2 linked regions of the Pelodiscus sinensis genome follow. The protein of the gene in region 1 binds, or shares a complex with, the protein of each later gene. Links are inferred from orthologs where the notes say so. Each region holds a gene or a part of one and is shown on either strand. Other genes may lie near its edges.

What was found.
Region 2: the proteins of MYO5A (region 1) and MLPH are in contact, whole or in part, in a crystal structure (PDB 4KP3), measured with the Mus musculus proteins. The link is inferred for Pelodiscus sinensis from reciprocal best matches to the Homo sapiens genes MYO5A and MLPH. Residues at the interface, in NP_034994.2 of Mus musculus: Asp1524, Val1527, Arg1528, Leu1531, Thr1532, Ile1535, Asn1536, Lys1539, Ser1570, Gly1571, Leu1588, Thr1589, Asn1590, Phe1591, Asp1592, Leu1593, Ala1594, Glu1595, Tyr1596, Val1599; in NP_443748.2 of Mus musculus: Lys184, Lys186, Arg187, Leu188, Leu189, Ser190, Phe191, Arg192, Asp195, Phe196, Glu197.

Annotation. Positions count from the first base shown.
Region 1 is NC_134724.1:25,553,278-25,561,903, reverse strand, and holds the start of MYO5A (unconventional myosin-Va), read left to right. Parts: upstream 1-5,525; 5' UTR 5,526-5,644; coding exon 5,645-5,728; intron 5,729-8,626. UniProt on the Homo sapiens protein: Processive actin-based motor that can move in large steps approximating the 36-nm pseudo-repeat of the actin filament. Can hydrolyze ATP in the presence of actin, which is essential for its function as a motor protein. Involved in melanosome transport.
Region 2 is NC_134717.1:62,044,827-62,053,044, reverse strand, and holds the start of MLPH (melanophilin), read left to right. Parts: upstream 1-4,667; 5' UTR 4,668-5,027; intron 5,028-5,049; exon of another isoform or gene 5,050-5,202; intron 5,203-8,218. UniProt on the Homo sapiens protein: Rab effector protein involved in melanosome transport. Serves as link between melanosome-bound RAB27A and the motor protein MYO5A.

The sequences.
Region 1 (8,626 bases):
GTTGACTTCCACAAAAAGTCAAAGGTGACAGTGTAATGGTGTGGGGACTGCATGATTTTCTCCATGTGTGGGGAAATAGTGCCTAACTGGCAATTACCTCCTGTAAAGACTACCCCACAGGCTAGCTATCCCCTATGGCTTTTAGACTTCCCCCTCCCCCCATGGTAGCTTCTTCAGTGGATTTAAGAGGTGCCAGTTATTTAAAATACAAAGCCTAATGTTAATAGAACTGTTTGTATCCCTGCTTATGTCCTGAGCACTTGAACCTAACATGAACATAGGCATGTGAATAGACAATTCACTTTGGCTATGTCTACACTACAGAGTTTTTCTGGGATACATCCTGGAAAAACTCTGCTGCCTCCAGGGAACACATCTACTCTTCTGAAAAAAATTTCGGAAGAGCAGATGCACTTTTTCGGCATCCCTGTAAACCTCATTTATGAGGAAGAAGGGATATTCCGAAAGTTTTTTTCCCCCCAACATTTGGCCTAGGGTAGATGGGCCAAATGTCAGAAAAGCCTCTTCCGAAAAAAGAAGCATAAAAAGCTACTCCAATTGTGGTTCGCAATTTACGTAGATTTTTCCTGAAGAGCAGTGTAATGTAGACATAGCCTTTGAGAAGCAAAATCTGGCAAACCTGGTACTCTGGCCTGTATGCCAATGGTGTAGTCGGGAGTTGTACGTTTCTTACAGAAATCATGGATTCTGTAGTCTGTTTTGTTCCCTCCTTCCTTATTGGTGTCTTGGGATTCTTTCTGGTGACTGAATGGAGGCAAGAGCAGTATTTGAACCAATTTCACTGTGAACCATGACAGCAGGAACTCTCCTGGTTTATTAGTGGTTTGTCTTGTGTGCATGCTTGGGAAAAGGCAGACCATGAACTCCAGGATGTCTCTACTTTACTATTTGGTGGTGTTTGCATGTTTGAAAAAAAAGTCCTGAAACTACTCACAATGAGATAGTGATTGCTACTTACTGTGAGCAATCCCCATGGCTTTATGGAAGTAAGCAATATACCACCCTGTGTTTGTGGGATTGAGCAACTTCTTGACTGGTTTCACATTTGAGCTGCACCCAGTATGGAAGCTAACATGTTTGAGTTCTTAGGGCTTGACTGAATGCTCATTGATGTTAATAGCAAAGCTCCATTGACTTTAACCATCCAGGATTGGGACTTTAACACATACTATTGCTGTCATTGGGCTCAAGGCTGTTTGATTTCCAGCTATTTGAAAATATGCCTTATTCTCAGGGTATTATTTGGCATTGCCTAGGCCTTTATCCTGCAAACACTTAAGCATACACTTAACTTTATTCACTGTATTTCTGTTTACCTCAGTGGAAGTAATTACAGTGTGTAAAGTTAAGCATGCTTGTAAGGGTTAAGCCATAATTTGAATTGTGTTTAATTTTAGGAGATAACTTTATGGTCCCCAAGCCCCCAAAATAATCTAAGTGGGAAACAAATGAAAATGCCTCTTGGGGTGTTTCCTTGATAAATCCTTAATGGTGAGTATCTTGGGTATAAATACTTTTCTCCTGCTGCCAAGAAAAGAGCTTTGACTATTTATAGCAAAACCTGTTCATTTTCCAGTGTGGTGTCCAATTTTTCCAGACAGTAGTTGTGTCAATGACATAATTAATGGGCTTGACTACTTTTAACACGGACTACTCTTTGACTTTCACTCTGTGTGTGGGCACCATCTTTGTATGGCACATACTGAATCAGCACTTTGTGAGACACTGAATGGCTCTGTAATTTGCCAACAGAAAAGCATCCAGAGCCTTTGAGTTGGAGATCTTGGTGCACTGCATGCTTGAGGCACAGGAACAACTTATTACCTAGGGATATAAGCTATTAGTTGAGCAGTTGACTACCCAATAAGCCTAGCGTAGGCTTATTGGGTAGTCAAGTCACTGCTTGACTAGTCGCTTCCCCCATCCTTGCTGCCTCTGTATCAGAGGAGCAAGGGGGAGGAGCGGGAGCCAGTGCTGGGGGGAGCTGGCTTAAAAGCTGGCTCCCCCCAGCGCTGTCTCTGGTGGGGGGCAGAGGTGCAGCAGGGGACCCAGTGCGATCTGAGACTGAGCAGTCCCAGCTCACGCTGACCAATGATGCAGGTTTCACTTCCTGGCCCAAACTAATTAGAGAAAGAAAGACAATCTAAGAACATTTCTGTGTAATAGTAATAAAGTCTTTGTGCTTGGGCTACAGCTCCTTTGAGTTTATTAGAAGAGGAAACGATGGTAACACCAGGGCCAAGTATCAATAAGAAAATGGGGGCAGAATTTAGTGGTTACATTAGAAGATTAATAGTCAAGACTCCTATTCTGGTCTCCGCTAATATGCTGTGTGACTCTGGGCACCTCATTTCTTCTGTTTTTCCTATTTGCAAAATGTGTACTGTAATTTCTCTCACTCTAAAATTATTTTTCTTGCGGGACGACAGTGACATCATCACATTACTCTGCATCCCGCCTGCCTACTCCTTCCTTCCCCACCCTTTCCCCAGTGCTCGGGAGCCAGGATTGCTGCACCGTGGCCTCCCTCTTCCCTGATGTTTGGGTGAGAGCTGGGGGGAGAGTGCAGGGTCAGGTGTAGCCAGACAGGAACCCCCTTGTAACATCCATTTTTGCTTGCCTGGAGCATACAGGGCACACAGAGCAGAAGGCCCAGGCTGTGTGACCGTGAATGGCTATAAACAGAGATATGCCAATTGCTGACCAAGAGGCTGCCAAGGAGTGCCCTTGACTTAACCCATATTGATACGAACACACATCCATCCGCGGGGGGAGGAATCTCTCGCCCAGTAAAAAAAATGTCTAGTGCTCACAATTTAGTTATCTCTCTTGCAAGTGTAAATTAACTTGAAACTTGCTTGTAAGAACTGGCGCCACAAAACGGACCAGTAGAATTCGGCATCTTAGATAAGAAAGAGAATACGGGCCCCCAGGGGTATAAAGATAGGTCCAGCAGCGCATTCTCTTTGAGTGTCAATCTACCATCTATCTGCTGGTCGGGTTAGGTGTTTGATCTCCCGAGGTTCCAAGGGGACGCCCACCTCGTATTCGTCTTTCCTAGGAATTGAGAGACCGGCCCTGGCCTGACACGCTGGAGTCGAGAGGCACAGAAAGGGGTAAAAATTGTACCTGGATGTGGTCCTTTGTTTAAGTATATATATACATAGACTTAGAGCTCTTTAAAGATTAAGCTGTCACTTGGTACCATTATTTCTATTTTCTATCTTTATTTTCTTTGTAACCATTTTTAAAATCTGTATTTGTTAGCATTTAAGAAATAGAGCAATAGCCATTGTAACCATATGCTTTTATAAGTCTTTTAATAAACCTGTAACTGTTTAAGCTTTAACCTGACTCCTTCAGTTGCTGTAACAGAATCAAGCACAATTTAAAAGAACTTCAGCCGGTCATAAAGGGACAGACATAGGGAGAGCTTGGGCATTTGGATCTGTGTCACTCCCAGGTGACAAGATCCGTTAGGGCACCTTTCCAGCCTTTCCCAGGCTGCCCGCTGCGAAGGAACCCCTGTGTTCTAGCAGTTAAGATCTAAGGTGTAATAAGCTCTTTCTATATAACGGGGCGTCTGTTGGCCTGCTGGCCACCCTCTGCGACGGGACCCCGGTCCTAGCAGTAAAGACACGGACGTTAAACCTTTTCTCGGAAGCATACACACACACACTGCCCTGACCGTCGGCTGACATCAGGTGAGACCTTGGCCCGGACCCTCTCCGACCTGATGACCAGGGGGAGAGCACGGGACCTGGTGAGGCCTCAGCCCTCCTCGGTGGCTGGGGAGAGGTGGGGGAGAGCTGGGGCTGGCACAGCTTGGGGGAGAAGGAGGTAGAGCCAAGGCTGGCTCTACTTTCCCTCTACCTTCCCTGATGGCTGGGGTCAGGGGGAGAGCTGGGGCTAGCCAGGACTGGTGTGGCTGGGGGCGGGGGAAGAGGATAGAGCTGGGCTTTCCCAATCTTCGCTCCCTGTCGGGCAGCTGGGGAGGGAGAGAGGTGGGGCTGGTGTGTCTGGAGGAAGGGAAGCACAATAGAATTGTTTTGAAAACAGTCACCATCACTAACTGCTTAATGCCATCTCCACCTGCCAATGGTGGCAAGCGTTGGAAGGACAGAAGCATAAAAGGTAGTGGTGTAAGAGTAGGGAAGCTGAAACTTTGCTCAGTGATGGGTTCATTGGTAACTTGGGAAGAGTTGAGGACTGCACTTCACTTGCATTTGCTCTCCCTTTTAATGTGGAATCCATTATAGTTCCTTGCAAGGTGGAGCAGAGTCTTCTAAGGCTGCCTCTCTTTCTTAAAAATCTATGTGGCCACATGCTGAATTGGATATATTTCTGGGTTGCAGGCCTCACATTGGCACTCGTTATATAGGCTTGACAACGAGGGTGCAGATATTGACCAGAAGAGGTCTAATCCAAGTGTAATTGCAGGAGTATATTCAGGCTTGTTACCATCATGCTGTTTGGTAGAAGTGTTATTAATGAATTCTGTTTAATACCTTCCTTATTTCTTCCCGGTTGCTTATCAAGTCTGTAATCTTCAATTGACTTTTAACCTCCATGAAATAGTGGCTTCTGCTACAGCTATGGCTAGCACATAATTAATTAAGATGGAACTAATAATTAACAGGAGAACTGGCTTATTGAGTTGGTTTAGTTATTGAGAGATGTATGGCATAAGCGGGGCGGCCCGTGAGTATAGGCCAACTTGGCTGTGGCCTACGGCGCCGCCTTCAACAGGGTCCCTGGGATGCCCAATGATGATGTCACGAGGCGCCCGGGGTGCCCAATGATGACGTCACGTCGTTGAGGGCTGTGCAGGCGGGGGTGCCAATCGCGCGTTCCGCCTGGGGCGCCAGCTGCCACAGCCCACCTCAGGCCACCCCTGGGCATAAGCACAATTTATACAATTGAGAGCCTTCTAAATTACCTATTCTCCTGGTCTGATGATAGTCTGGGTTACAAAATTAAATGCAAAATGGAAGCAATGCTACTATATGTCTCATACCTTGCTTTAGTCTTCAGTGTAACAGGTGAGGGGAAAATTATAACTTCAGTTATCTTGGTGCATAAAGGTTCTTCCAATTCATGTTTTCAGTGTACCTGTAGTTAAATGAAAACTGCAGGTTTGTAATGTAGTTTTAAATAGGGAAAAGTGTAACGTGTATTTTCTGTAAGATTTGAGATATTTGCATATGAGCTCCTTATTGAAAACAGATAAGACAAATAAATCATTCATTGGTACTGGAATTACTTATGTTTTCTAGTTTCTCCATTTGATTATCACAAGACAGTGGGTTCTGCCATTTTTTTTTAGTGTCTTAAACAAAAAAACACACTCACTCTTTGTGTCCCTGGAGAAATAAGCTAAAATATGGTGAATCACTTAAACAATGAAGCAATTCATTGCCCCAGCCTGGCTTGTCACACGTTTTCCTTGCAGATTTTCATGGGTTATTAATGCATATCTTTAAAAGAAGATGATCTTAGTAGTTATGTTGCAGAGATAAGAGAGAGAGGCCGCGGCTGGCCTAGTTGTTACTGCAGACCAAGTGTGAACAAAGTGGAAATACTCTTCACTCCAAGTAAATTCCTTTCACATGAAAAGGAAACTATGACTGAGGTGCAAGATGCTGGAAGCGTGTACCACCAGAGGTACTGGGTGGTGGTAGATGATTTAGACTATATGTACATTAAAGTAAGTGTAATCTGTTGACTTTTTTCATGTTCTTTGTTTTAATAAAATCGAAACCTTTTGATATGGATACGCAGTCTCTGTGTTTGTACCAGTGCTTAATGAAAGTTTAGTTTTGATTTATTCTGATTCATTGTTAATAGCAACAAGATTCTTTCAAACATGACAGATGATGGTTTTATGGTTTGGGACTGGGTCTCTTTTTTGTTGGTTTCTTTTTAAATATCTCATGGGTTTTTTTCCCCAATAAGAGACATTAGCGCTTGTGGTATTGTATGTCAGTGTGTAATATTTGTTTTTATTATCTGTTTATTATAATGGGATTCATGCCACAGCAATCTCAGATAATGAAAGGCAACACAACATTGACTTGGTGACAGTAGCTGAATATACAGTATTTGTGAAGAAAAGGAATATAACTACTTATTGAAATATGGTACTGAATGAAATGCATCAGGAATCCAAATAGATGCATACTAACTTTTTAACAGTCACTTTTAATGTGGGTGGATAGCTCTAAATATTATTGTGACTCTTCCTATTTTATCAGACCGTTGAAGGTTCTGTGGGCTAGAATCTGATTCCAGTTTATGCTGGTGTAAACTGGGGTAACTCACTTATTAACAGTGGTATGTAGCAAAACAAGGTGCAGTCAGCTTGTGTGCTTCCCGGCGCAGCAACAAAGTGTATAACTAAGCACATTTTGGTCCCTTAGGGCTTTATCAAGGTGTGGCTTAAAAAGATGTTTTCAAAAGAATGGAATGTATGCGGAAAAAGTCCTCCAGCAAATAGGATGTGAGACTGTATCAGGTTTTGTCCTACTCTTATTTTTACATGCTAGTGCAAGTGGGTCATCAGATTAAAATAAACCAGGTAAAAATGTTGGCAGTTAGAATAAATGGTTTCTGAGCCTGGAAAGAAGAGTGGGGAGAGATGCACAGAATGCTGGGTGCAGAGCCAAGGTATAGATGATTGTGTGTCTTCCTCTGACCCCATGTTTTAAAACTTTGTTCTGGGCATTATCAAGATGGGACAAGTATCGCGTGCACTAGCATGTGTTTTATGGAAATCTGCCCAGACTGTTCCTCCGTGACTCAGAATGTGCTATGTCACAGGTGGCTATGCCTTAGAGTTCTGAATTGATATTATCTGTTAGTGGCTGTAATTGAGCTTCACTGTGTGGCAACAAGGTACACATGGCTTATTTTGAAAGGTTCACCGCTCTTCCCATGAGCCCGACAGCATCTTTGCTTAGCTCTCAAGTTAAAGTAATTTAATAGCCAGGATTTGCTGCACTGCTGTTTTAACCTTAGCACTATACACATACCTTTGTGGTTTAGTTCAGGTTTTACTGTAGTGAAAGTTGTGTCTGAGTAAAAAATGAGGGAAGCCCTCAGGATTTACTCACAAATTTGTAAGAAGACGTTTGGGAAAGTGCAATCTTTTCCTTGGTATTTTAACTGTTAGGTTATCCTAATGTAAAATCTAATGTTTCTCTTTACATGTGCACGTTCCCTTGTTTTTATCCTAACAGTTTATCAGTTTTCCATAGTCCAGAAGCTTTGCAAACATTTATGAATGTCGCCTCTAATAAGCCTGCAGGATAGGCTATCAGTTACTGCTCCAAATTTCCTTGAATAACTTCAGTTTCTCGCTTCTAGTGCTATAGTACACTGGGGTGCAGTATGATCACTATAACCCTTTATTTTCTCTTCCTGCCCTGTTAAATTCTGGACGTGCCAACTAATCCCATTAGAACATTGCAGATGGCTCAGTGCTAAATCAGTAGCAATGATACAAAAGAAGTGATTTCCACTTCCTGTATCTATGAACCAAGGGTTAACAGACAGATGCATTCACCACTGTCTATGTTCTCCATCCCCCCATCTGGAAGGCTCTGTAAGCAGGACATTGGCTCATAGCTGTTGGCAGAGTGAGTCAGTTCAGTTGTCTCATCAGCCTTTCCTGTACAGGTGAACTTGAAAGCTTTTTTGAAGGGGGGAGGGGAGAGGAATCTGTTTGAAGAGCCTTAAAATTAGTAATAGAATTTGGTGGTAAGGAGGAATCAATATAATTTTTATATTAAAAATGTTTTAACTTAGAGCCTTTCATTTTAATATAAAGACCTGATTTGAAGGTTCTGTACTACCCCTGCAAGAATCCATGACACTGTTAACAACTAAAGCAGAGAAGAGAAACACAGGGCTTCTATTTTGAGGATGTCATTTGGCAATTAACTTGAAGGTCTTGACAGGTGAGAGGAGGTGTGTTAAGACCCCCTTCTCTTTCACCTGACAAGATCTGAGTCAAAAGAATATTGTAAGAGTAACATTTTGACTTGAATTAGGTTGTTATAATTTGTGCAAATTTTTAATGCCCGTGAATGGTGTTTGGTAGTCTTGGACACTGAAGTTTTCTACATAGCTACAGTGATACCTAACCTAGATCCAAAGAGAGCATTGCTATTCATTCCTGGGCCTCTTAGATGAGAGTGCCATCCATGTTGCCTATTGGTAGCAGTTGTGGTACATCTTCTGATGGGAATATCAGAGCTAGTTTTCAGAGGACAGAACATCCCACTCATTACTGAATACCAAAGAGCCCACAGATGGTAATGAGTGTCAGTCATTATTGACTTGACTGTGGATTTGGACTAATGGCGTGATTTTTAGTATTTAGCTGTAAACCTATACATTCTTTAAATTTGTGGTTTTAACAAGTTGTTTCACTTCTCTTTTTAGAACTAACTTCTTTGCGTCTTAAAGTGAAGCTACTTAAAGAGTTAACCCTGAAACACTGACTGTATAATCCTACCAAGTTTGCCTATTTCTCTTCAAAATTGGAGAATGTATGGAATTTTTCCACCGATTGAATTGTAACACAGTGAAATCATAGAATACT
Region 2 (8,218 bases), on another chromosome or scaffold:
TACCTCTTCAGAGCCCCCTCCAAATGTATGAATCAATGCTTGTAACATGCCGGCGAGCCAGTGTGCGCCCCATTCTATAGCTAAGAGGCAGACACAGACAGGCCAAAGAGAGACGGAGCAGAGCAAGGGCAGAGCATGGAAAATGCCCAGCTCCCAGGCTGGCCTCCAGCCACAGCTCACGAAGTAGCTAGCCTGGCACATGACATGAGCAGATTGATAAGCAGGCGGCTTCTCAGACCCTTTATGCTACTGGAACAAGGTGTAAATGCTTCCTGGCTCTCGCATGCCACCGACGGGCTTCCTGGCACCGCAGCGAGCGTGAAATTGACTTTCCTCGGCTCATTCTACTGACGTGGGTGTAGGAGAGAAGGTTGCTCCAGCTGCGTTAAGCAAGACGCGATTTGAATCGGGAGAGAGAGGACATCCCCCCTGGCTGTTTCCTTTCCTTTCCCCACATGCTGTGCCACACTTCCTCACTGTGCAGGGGGGTGAAACACTGGAATAAGTTCCTAGGGGGGTTGTGGAATCTCCATCACTGGAGAGATCTAAGAGCAGGTTGGACAGACACCTGTCAGGGATGATCTAGGTTAGATATTCATTTTTCCTACTATCCAACCTAGACCTCCCCCACTCTGTCACTAGGAGGGGGTGAAGCACTGGGCTGGGTTCCCTAGGGAGGGGGTGGAATCTCCATCCCTAGAGGTTTTTAAGTCTTAGCTTGACAAAGCCTTGGCTGGGATGATGGAGTTGGGGTTGGTCCTGCCTTGGGCAGGGAGCTGGACTCGATGCCGTCCTGAGGTCTCTTCCAGCCCTGGGATCCTATGATTTAGATGGTGCTGGGTCCTGCCACGAGGGCAGGGGACTGGACTTGCTCCCTCAAGGTCCCTTCTGGGTCCAGTGTGCTGTGATTCTGCACTGCGTATGCCAGTTTCCCCCTTCGTCTGTGCTCCGGACACGCGCTGCCTTCGCCAATCCAGTAGGTCGGGGGAAAGCTGCTCCTGCTGGTAACCCCCCAAGGAAAACATGCCCCTTGTTTGGTGCCCTTTCAAAGTGCAGCCAGCCGAATGGAAAGTCATGAGTGACCAGATCAATCAGCCACGGCCCGCACGTGTCGGGACACCAGTTAGTCTCTCCTCCCATGCCCTTGCCGGGAGCGGTTTGGGCTGGCTCATGCGATGGGCTCCCTATGTGGGTGAGCTGCACATTTTGTTCCTCTGTGATGGCGAATGCTCTGCGTGCAGGAAACCCACCTCCCCGAAAGGCAGAAGTTAGGTTGAAGGAAGAATTCTACCCCCCGGGGTGAGATTGGCATAGCTGTGTCTCTCTCCCAGGGGTGGGATTCGTGGGGGGTAGCTATGCCAATGTAAGTTCCCTATGTAAACCAGCCCTAAGATTTGTCTACATTCAACAGAAGATCACTACTGCCGAGATTGATCTTCCGGAGTTTGATTTAGCAGGTCTAGTTAAGACTTGCTAAATCAAAGTCAGAGGGTGCCTCCACCATCGTCCAGTACTTCTGCGTCTGCAAGGAGGAAGGGAAGCTGACAGGAACGTTTGCTCCCACTGGCCTCCCGTCGTGGGGATGCCGCTAAACTCGGCTTAAAGTAAGCCGACTCCAGGTATGCGTTCTACAGAGGTGGAGTTGCATTCCTTAAGCTGAGCTGCCGGGTCCAGTGTAGACCTGGCCTAAGAGCCCTAATTCAGGGAGCTGTTGGGAACAGGCTGCCTGTGCATAAACTCTGGCACCTCTGCGTGGTACTGCTGGGGCCACACAGCATGCTTAATGAAGATCTCGTTACTACAACACTCCCTGCCCCCCTCCTTCCTGTTCATTCCCTTTCAGGTAAAATTACAACCATTTTCACCATCTGCCAGCTTGAATTATACCCACTGCAGACAGAAAACGACCCTAAAAGGGCAGCATTGGGCTTGCAAGCAGTCAGGGGTCCCTGCCCACGTAGTTTTACACCCACAGTCCCGCTCCTCCGGCGTAACAGGGGCGGCAGGGCCAAAGGTGGGGGTGGGGCTTTGCGACTCAGGGCATGGGGGTCACAGCGAGGGGCAGGTTTGGCCCTTAGGCCGTGAATGCCCAGCACGTCTCCCTCTACGGGGCTGGCTTCTGCGCCTCCAACCAACCCCGCTTCGTGGGCCAGAGGCTGCAGAGCCACTCCGAGCTCTGTGTCCCAGCCTGCGTCTCTGAAAGTCACCCCCGTTTGTCCCACCAGTTTCAGTGGGAACAGGAGCTGGCCCTAGACTCCAGTTACATAACAGGGCACTGCTCTGTCTCTGTTGATTACATCCTTTGTTCCTTCATGCAGCTTCGTTTTTCTCTCTAATTGTGCTAGAGGGCGGGGGGCAGGGGCATTGCTGTGGAAGCCACAACCCAGATTTTCCACGGGGTACATCTGGCTGTGGCGTAGCGAACATCGCTCAGCGTTCGAACCAGCAGGGAGCGTTCGCAGGCGTCTGGCTGTAACACTCCGGATCCCAGTTCCCCTGCCTACGCCTCTTCGAGCACCACTTTTCCGACTGTAGCGGGCACTGTTTCTAACTGCAAAATCATGGCAGGAAAACCATGTCAGATGATGTGTCTCAGCTTGGTAATGAATAGGCCTGGGGCTCTTTTCCGATTTGAGCAGAACGGCTGACACTGTTTCTGCTTACGTAACACTCTAGAACCAAAGGGAATGTGATCAGAGGAGGCATGATTTGAATCATGCCTGTGAAACAAACAAGGTGCCGAGAAGGCAATGAAAACTTGCTCTAAATCAACAGAACAAATGTGACCTCCTATAACCACTTTCATAGAGGTTAATTAGCCACTTTGGTCTGTTTCAGCAGAAACAACCAGGAGTCTGGTGGCACCTTAAAGAGAAACCTATTTTTTAGGGCAAACGCTTTCACGGGCTAGAACCCACTTCATCAGAGGCATGAAGCGAAAGAATCAGATGGCAGGAGTATATACAGAACGACAGAAATTGGATGGGTTACATCAGTGCTAATGAGGCTAATTCAATCAGGGCGATAAGAGGGTGGGAATAGCTAAAGGGAAAATTTACATATTGTAATGAGTGAGCTATTCCCAGTCCCTATTCAGACGCATTCTGACGGTGTCAATTTTGCATACGAATTCTAGCTCGGTGGTTTCACGCTGCAGGTTTTGTTTGGTTGGTTTGGGTTTGGAAGTGTTTTTGCTCAACTATGGCAACTTGCAAGTCTGTTTCTATGTCTGTTTGTGCAAGAACTCCTCCGAAATGGTAGGACCACCAAATTCGGCAGGCAGATCCCTCTTGTCATGACTTAAAGCAAGGCCAGTGTTGGGCTGTGCCAGGACAAGGGGTGTTTTTGTTGCCCTTTTTGGAACCTTTTCCGATGCCAAGATATCTTTTTTGAGATGAGGCAGCCACATTTGTACAGTATTCAAGATGTGGGTGTTCCAGGGATTTATACAGAGGCAATAAAATATTTTCTTTTTTATTCTCTATCTCTTTTTTAATGATTCCTAAAATCATTTGATGGCTTCTCATCAAACCAGGCAAGTTAAAAGGGCTATTTGGGAGCGTGCCTCCCCCCCACCCCCATCTGGGACTGCCACAGCCCCGACCTTTCAACCCCCTCCTCTCCCACCCTTCAGGATGCACGGGGGACTGAAGCTCCCCCCAGATTCATACGGGGACATTGCTGGCTGGTCCCTTTCCTCACCATCAGGGAACAGAAGGAATCATAGAATCATAGAATACTAGGACTGGAAGGGACCTCCAGAGGTCATCGAGTCCAGTCCCCTGCCCTCGTGGCAGGACCAAATACCGTCTAGACCATCCCTGGTAGACATTTATCTAACCCACTCTTAAATATCTCCACAGATGGGGACTCCACAACCTCCCTTGGCAATTTATTCCAGTGTTTAACTACCCTGACAGTTAGGTACTTTTTCCTAATGTCCAACCTAAACCTCCCTTGCTGCAGTTTAAGCCCATTGCTTCTTGTTCTATCCTCAGAGGCCAAGATGAACAAGTTTTCTCCCTCCTCCTTATGACACCCTTTTAGAAACCAGAAAACTGCTATCATGTCCCCCTCAATCTTCTCTTTTCTAAACTAAACAAACAACTTGTTTGGCCCCTGCCCAAAGCCCCCACGGGATGCACTGGCTTCCACTTGACCTTTTGTTTATGTTTTTATTTTTATTTTTTCTCTCAAAGCCTTAATCAACGCTCATAGACTCATCGACTTTAAGGTCAGAAGGGACCATTATGATCATCTAGTCCAGTGTTTCCCAATTTTATTTGGCCACAGAACCTTTTTAAACTCAAAAGAATTTTGTGGAACCCCTAATAGCAGTCTTATATATGGAGCTGAAAAAGTCGATCACAAATAAATAAGGATAATAAACAACAAATGCTAAGCAAGGTCATGAGATCAACACCAATGAAAACTAGTTTCAATAAAATTCTTAATATTTATTATTATTTTAATAACAACATGTTATTGTAATGGAACTTTCTCACGGAACCCCAGGGTTCCCCGGAAAACCATTTGGGAAACACTGATCTAGTCTGACCCCCTGCACAGTGCTGATTTGCTGGAGATGACCAGGGGGATGTGGTTGGGGGGTTGGATTTTTTTCATAGTTTTTTTTTTTTATTTTTGTTATTTCTCTGGTACACGATCACCTGCTTCCAGGCCCCAGGGCTGAAATCCCGGCTCTCTTCCGTGCTCACGAAACCTTGCCGCCTTGCTTGGAGTTTGCTGCGCCTTTCCAAGTGTGCCGAGACCACCTCGTCCTCCCCCGGCCTGGCCCCAGCGTTGCATTGGGTCCCCTGGTGCCTGCCTCTTGCCCCCCGCCGCCGCCGCCCAGGGTCCCCCCGCCGCCGGACCGAAACTGACCAGGGGCCGGACTCCGCGGCAGCTGCTGCGTGGCTAATCGGCAGCATGTGACAAACCCTATTTTACTCCTCCCCCTAGGACCGGCTCGCCGGCCAGCCAGACGAGATCCGAGCAACAGCAGCGGTGGCGGCAGCCTGCACACGGTAACGTGCCGGGTCGGATCTGGGGCGAGTTGGGGGGCAGGAAAGGGACTGGGGGTGCTTACTACTCATGGAGCTTGCCCCTGTCTTCAGCTGAGCCCCGGCTAGTGCCCCAGCCCTGCCCTGCTGCAATCCCCAGCCCGGGTCTGCAAAGGGCAGGGTGCTGCCAGCAGCAAAGGTAAGAAAGGTGGAGGGAGAGAAACCCCAGTTGGATGATGGGGGAGGGGAGTCTTCAAAGCAAAGTCTGGATTCACCTGTAAAACAGGAGCCCAGAGCGTCTAAACAGTGCGACAGGACAGCCCCATGCTAGTCCATGGGCAGGCAAGACCCCTGGGAACCCTTCCAGCCGGCCTCAGGAGGGGTGTCGCTCGGATATTATAGCGGATACCCGCTGGGGGCTGCAAAAGGCCAGTTGAAATCATGATAGAAATGGAGCCATGTTAGTCTGGTGTAGCTGAAACAAAACCCAGGACTATGTAGCACTTTAAAGACTAACAAGCAAGACCTGGATGGAGCCTTTTCTTTAGCTCAGCTTTCCAAAGAGTGCGCCATGGGGGGGAGCGGTTTCCTCTGAATGCCCTTGCTGCCATGGGGTTCAGACACAGCCTCGCTTAGCCATACATGGGGGAATTACCCCCTTCCTGGGTTGCCACTCCATTTCTATGTAGGTACATTGCACGCCACCCTTGAAAATGTAAGGGTCGTTCCTGATGAGTGTGGTAATTCCATTAGTAATGTGCTTCTGTGGGTTAACGAGCCTGGTCAAGATATACTCCTGCCTGCTTTTGCCTCCAAACTCCTGTTGGCTTTATTGGAGCCATAAGGGGTACATGAGGTATGGGATTATGCTCCAAAGAGGTTCATTTTCAGCTTCCGAATAAGCAGAATAAATGGGCAACTCCCTAGATTGTTATGCCTATCTAATCTGCCCTGTGTAGGGCTGACGCCTATAACACCATTGGGTACTGGGATGTTACTTCTCTTTAAGACTTTCAAGAGCTCAGGTTGTAGCGTTTGAAATGAAAACGCCTCCCGGCCCTTGTCTACAGGGGAGGTTAGTTTCATTTTTTGGAGCACAAAAATGCACAGGCCCGCTGGACGCAGGATGCCACTTAGTCTGCGCAATTCAGTTCTAATCCTGAAAGGTGCGAGGGACCCTCAAATGCTGCTGTTTTCAGTGGAAATTGAAGGCACCTTGCACCATGCCAAGCTGGGCCCTTCCTACACCCTTCTATCTGACTCTTGTTATTGAGTCTAAATGGAGAACCACTCCTCACCTTCCAGCAAGGGGCAACAATGATTTTGCTTCCAAGGACTGATATTTAGGTTGATCCTGTGGCTCTGAAATACAGCATACTGCAGCGTGCTAATACTCTGCAAATTTAACGCATTCCGGAAGGGTAGGGCGTGGACACGGGGAGGGGGAGTGAGAGAGAGCAGATATTATTAAAATAGTTCTGACTTGTATTGTTGAAGTCTACTTGGCACCTGTACAATATCCTGTGATTTCCGGAGAACAATTCTTCTACCTCAAAAGTCTTTAAGAATAAATGTCTGAAGCCCCTTAGCCTACGCCATGCCTTCCTCCTTCATTTCCTCTCACCCCTTTATAATTTATATAAATACGAATAAGGATAAGAACTATTACCTAAAAATGATATGCCATGAGCCTTGTTGATGATACAGTTTTAAAAACAACCCTTTTTACTTTTCTCCCAGCATTATAAAAGCTCCCTCCTCCCTCCTCAGCAGCTCTAGAGAAACCAAAATAATTGTGGGGTTTTCAGGCCTTCCTATTTTAAAGTTGTGCCGAGCCAAAAAAAAAAAAAAAAAGTAAAATTACTGCAAAGATTTCAGAACATCAGATTCTGGAATACCATGTCCAAATATAAATCTATTTCAAATTAGCTGTTTCATTTTATATTTATATCCCTGCCTTATTCTGGAATAAATTTCTCGAATGAACAAGCTATGTGTTTAAGTTTTAAACCCAATATAGCTGATTTTTATAATGGAAATGCAAACAGACATCACCATATGCTAAAATACCATAGGTTTGTTGATTCAAAACACTACAGTTTTACAGGACATAAGAATGGCCATACTGGGTCAGACCAAAGGTCCATCCATCCCAGCAACCTGTCTGCTGACACTGGCCAATGCCAGGTGCCCCAGAGGAAGTAAACACAACAGGTAATCATGTGATCCCTCTCCTGTCATCCATTTCCAGACAAACAGAGGCTAGGGACACCATTCCTAACCATCCTGGCTAATAACCATTAATGGACCAAGCCTCCATGAATTTATCCAGCTCTTTTTTGAACCCTGTTAAAGTCCTAATCTTCACAACATCCTCTGGCAAGGAGTTCCACAGGTTTACTGTGTGCTGCATGCAGAAAAACAGTAATGCTGCTTATGTTTTTTTATCTTCATCATTTGGTCCGATAAACATTAGTTTTTTCTCTTAGTGGAAGACAGCTTGGAAAAGATGCCATTTCACTTAATCTCCCACCCCTTTAAGTAAATGTTATTGGTCATTTCTTGCTTGCACCCGCTTCTTTTGAAAGCGGTGGGGCAGTCACCCAAGGGGTTACATTTCCAGAATTGCTGACCAAACACATTAAATTTAATGGGCATTCAGCACTTCTGAGAATCGGGCACCTATTATCTTATCATCGTGCGAGTCTAATCTTAATGCACGTGGTCATTCCAGAAGACTCGAGTGCATAATTGATTTAGTGTCTGTACTGTAGATCAAAGACCAGCATGCTAGTGACATATGGACAGCTGATGAACTGAAGTATTTATTTTATCGCCTGTGTATCAATTTGCTTAACATAATCAGTGGTTAGAAACTAACCATTACATTGCCACCTCTTCCAAAACCCAGATGTAGGCTGTGTAATGTGTGTTAAAAACAAAAATGAAGGATATAAAAAAATGGTCATATGGGATGCTGTACAAGTCTGGGGAATTCCTTCCATTAGTGTAGACAACTCTTTCTGAAGGCTCAGTCTCAGAGATCTTTATTTCTCATGTGAATAATTTTCTGTACTATAAGCAAGAGGACACCAGAATTGTGGTCAGCCAGAAGTAAATTGGGAACAAACAAGGAAATGCATTAGAATTTCTGTCATGTGTCTAAGATCCAGTGCTCATTTTTTAACAGGGACGTTGTCGGGTTTAAAAAAAAA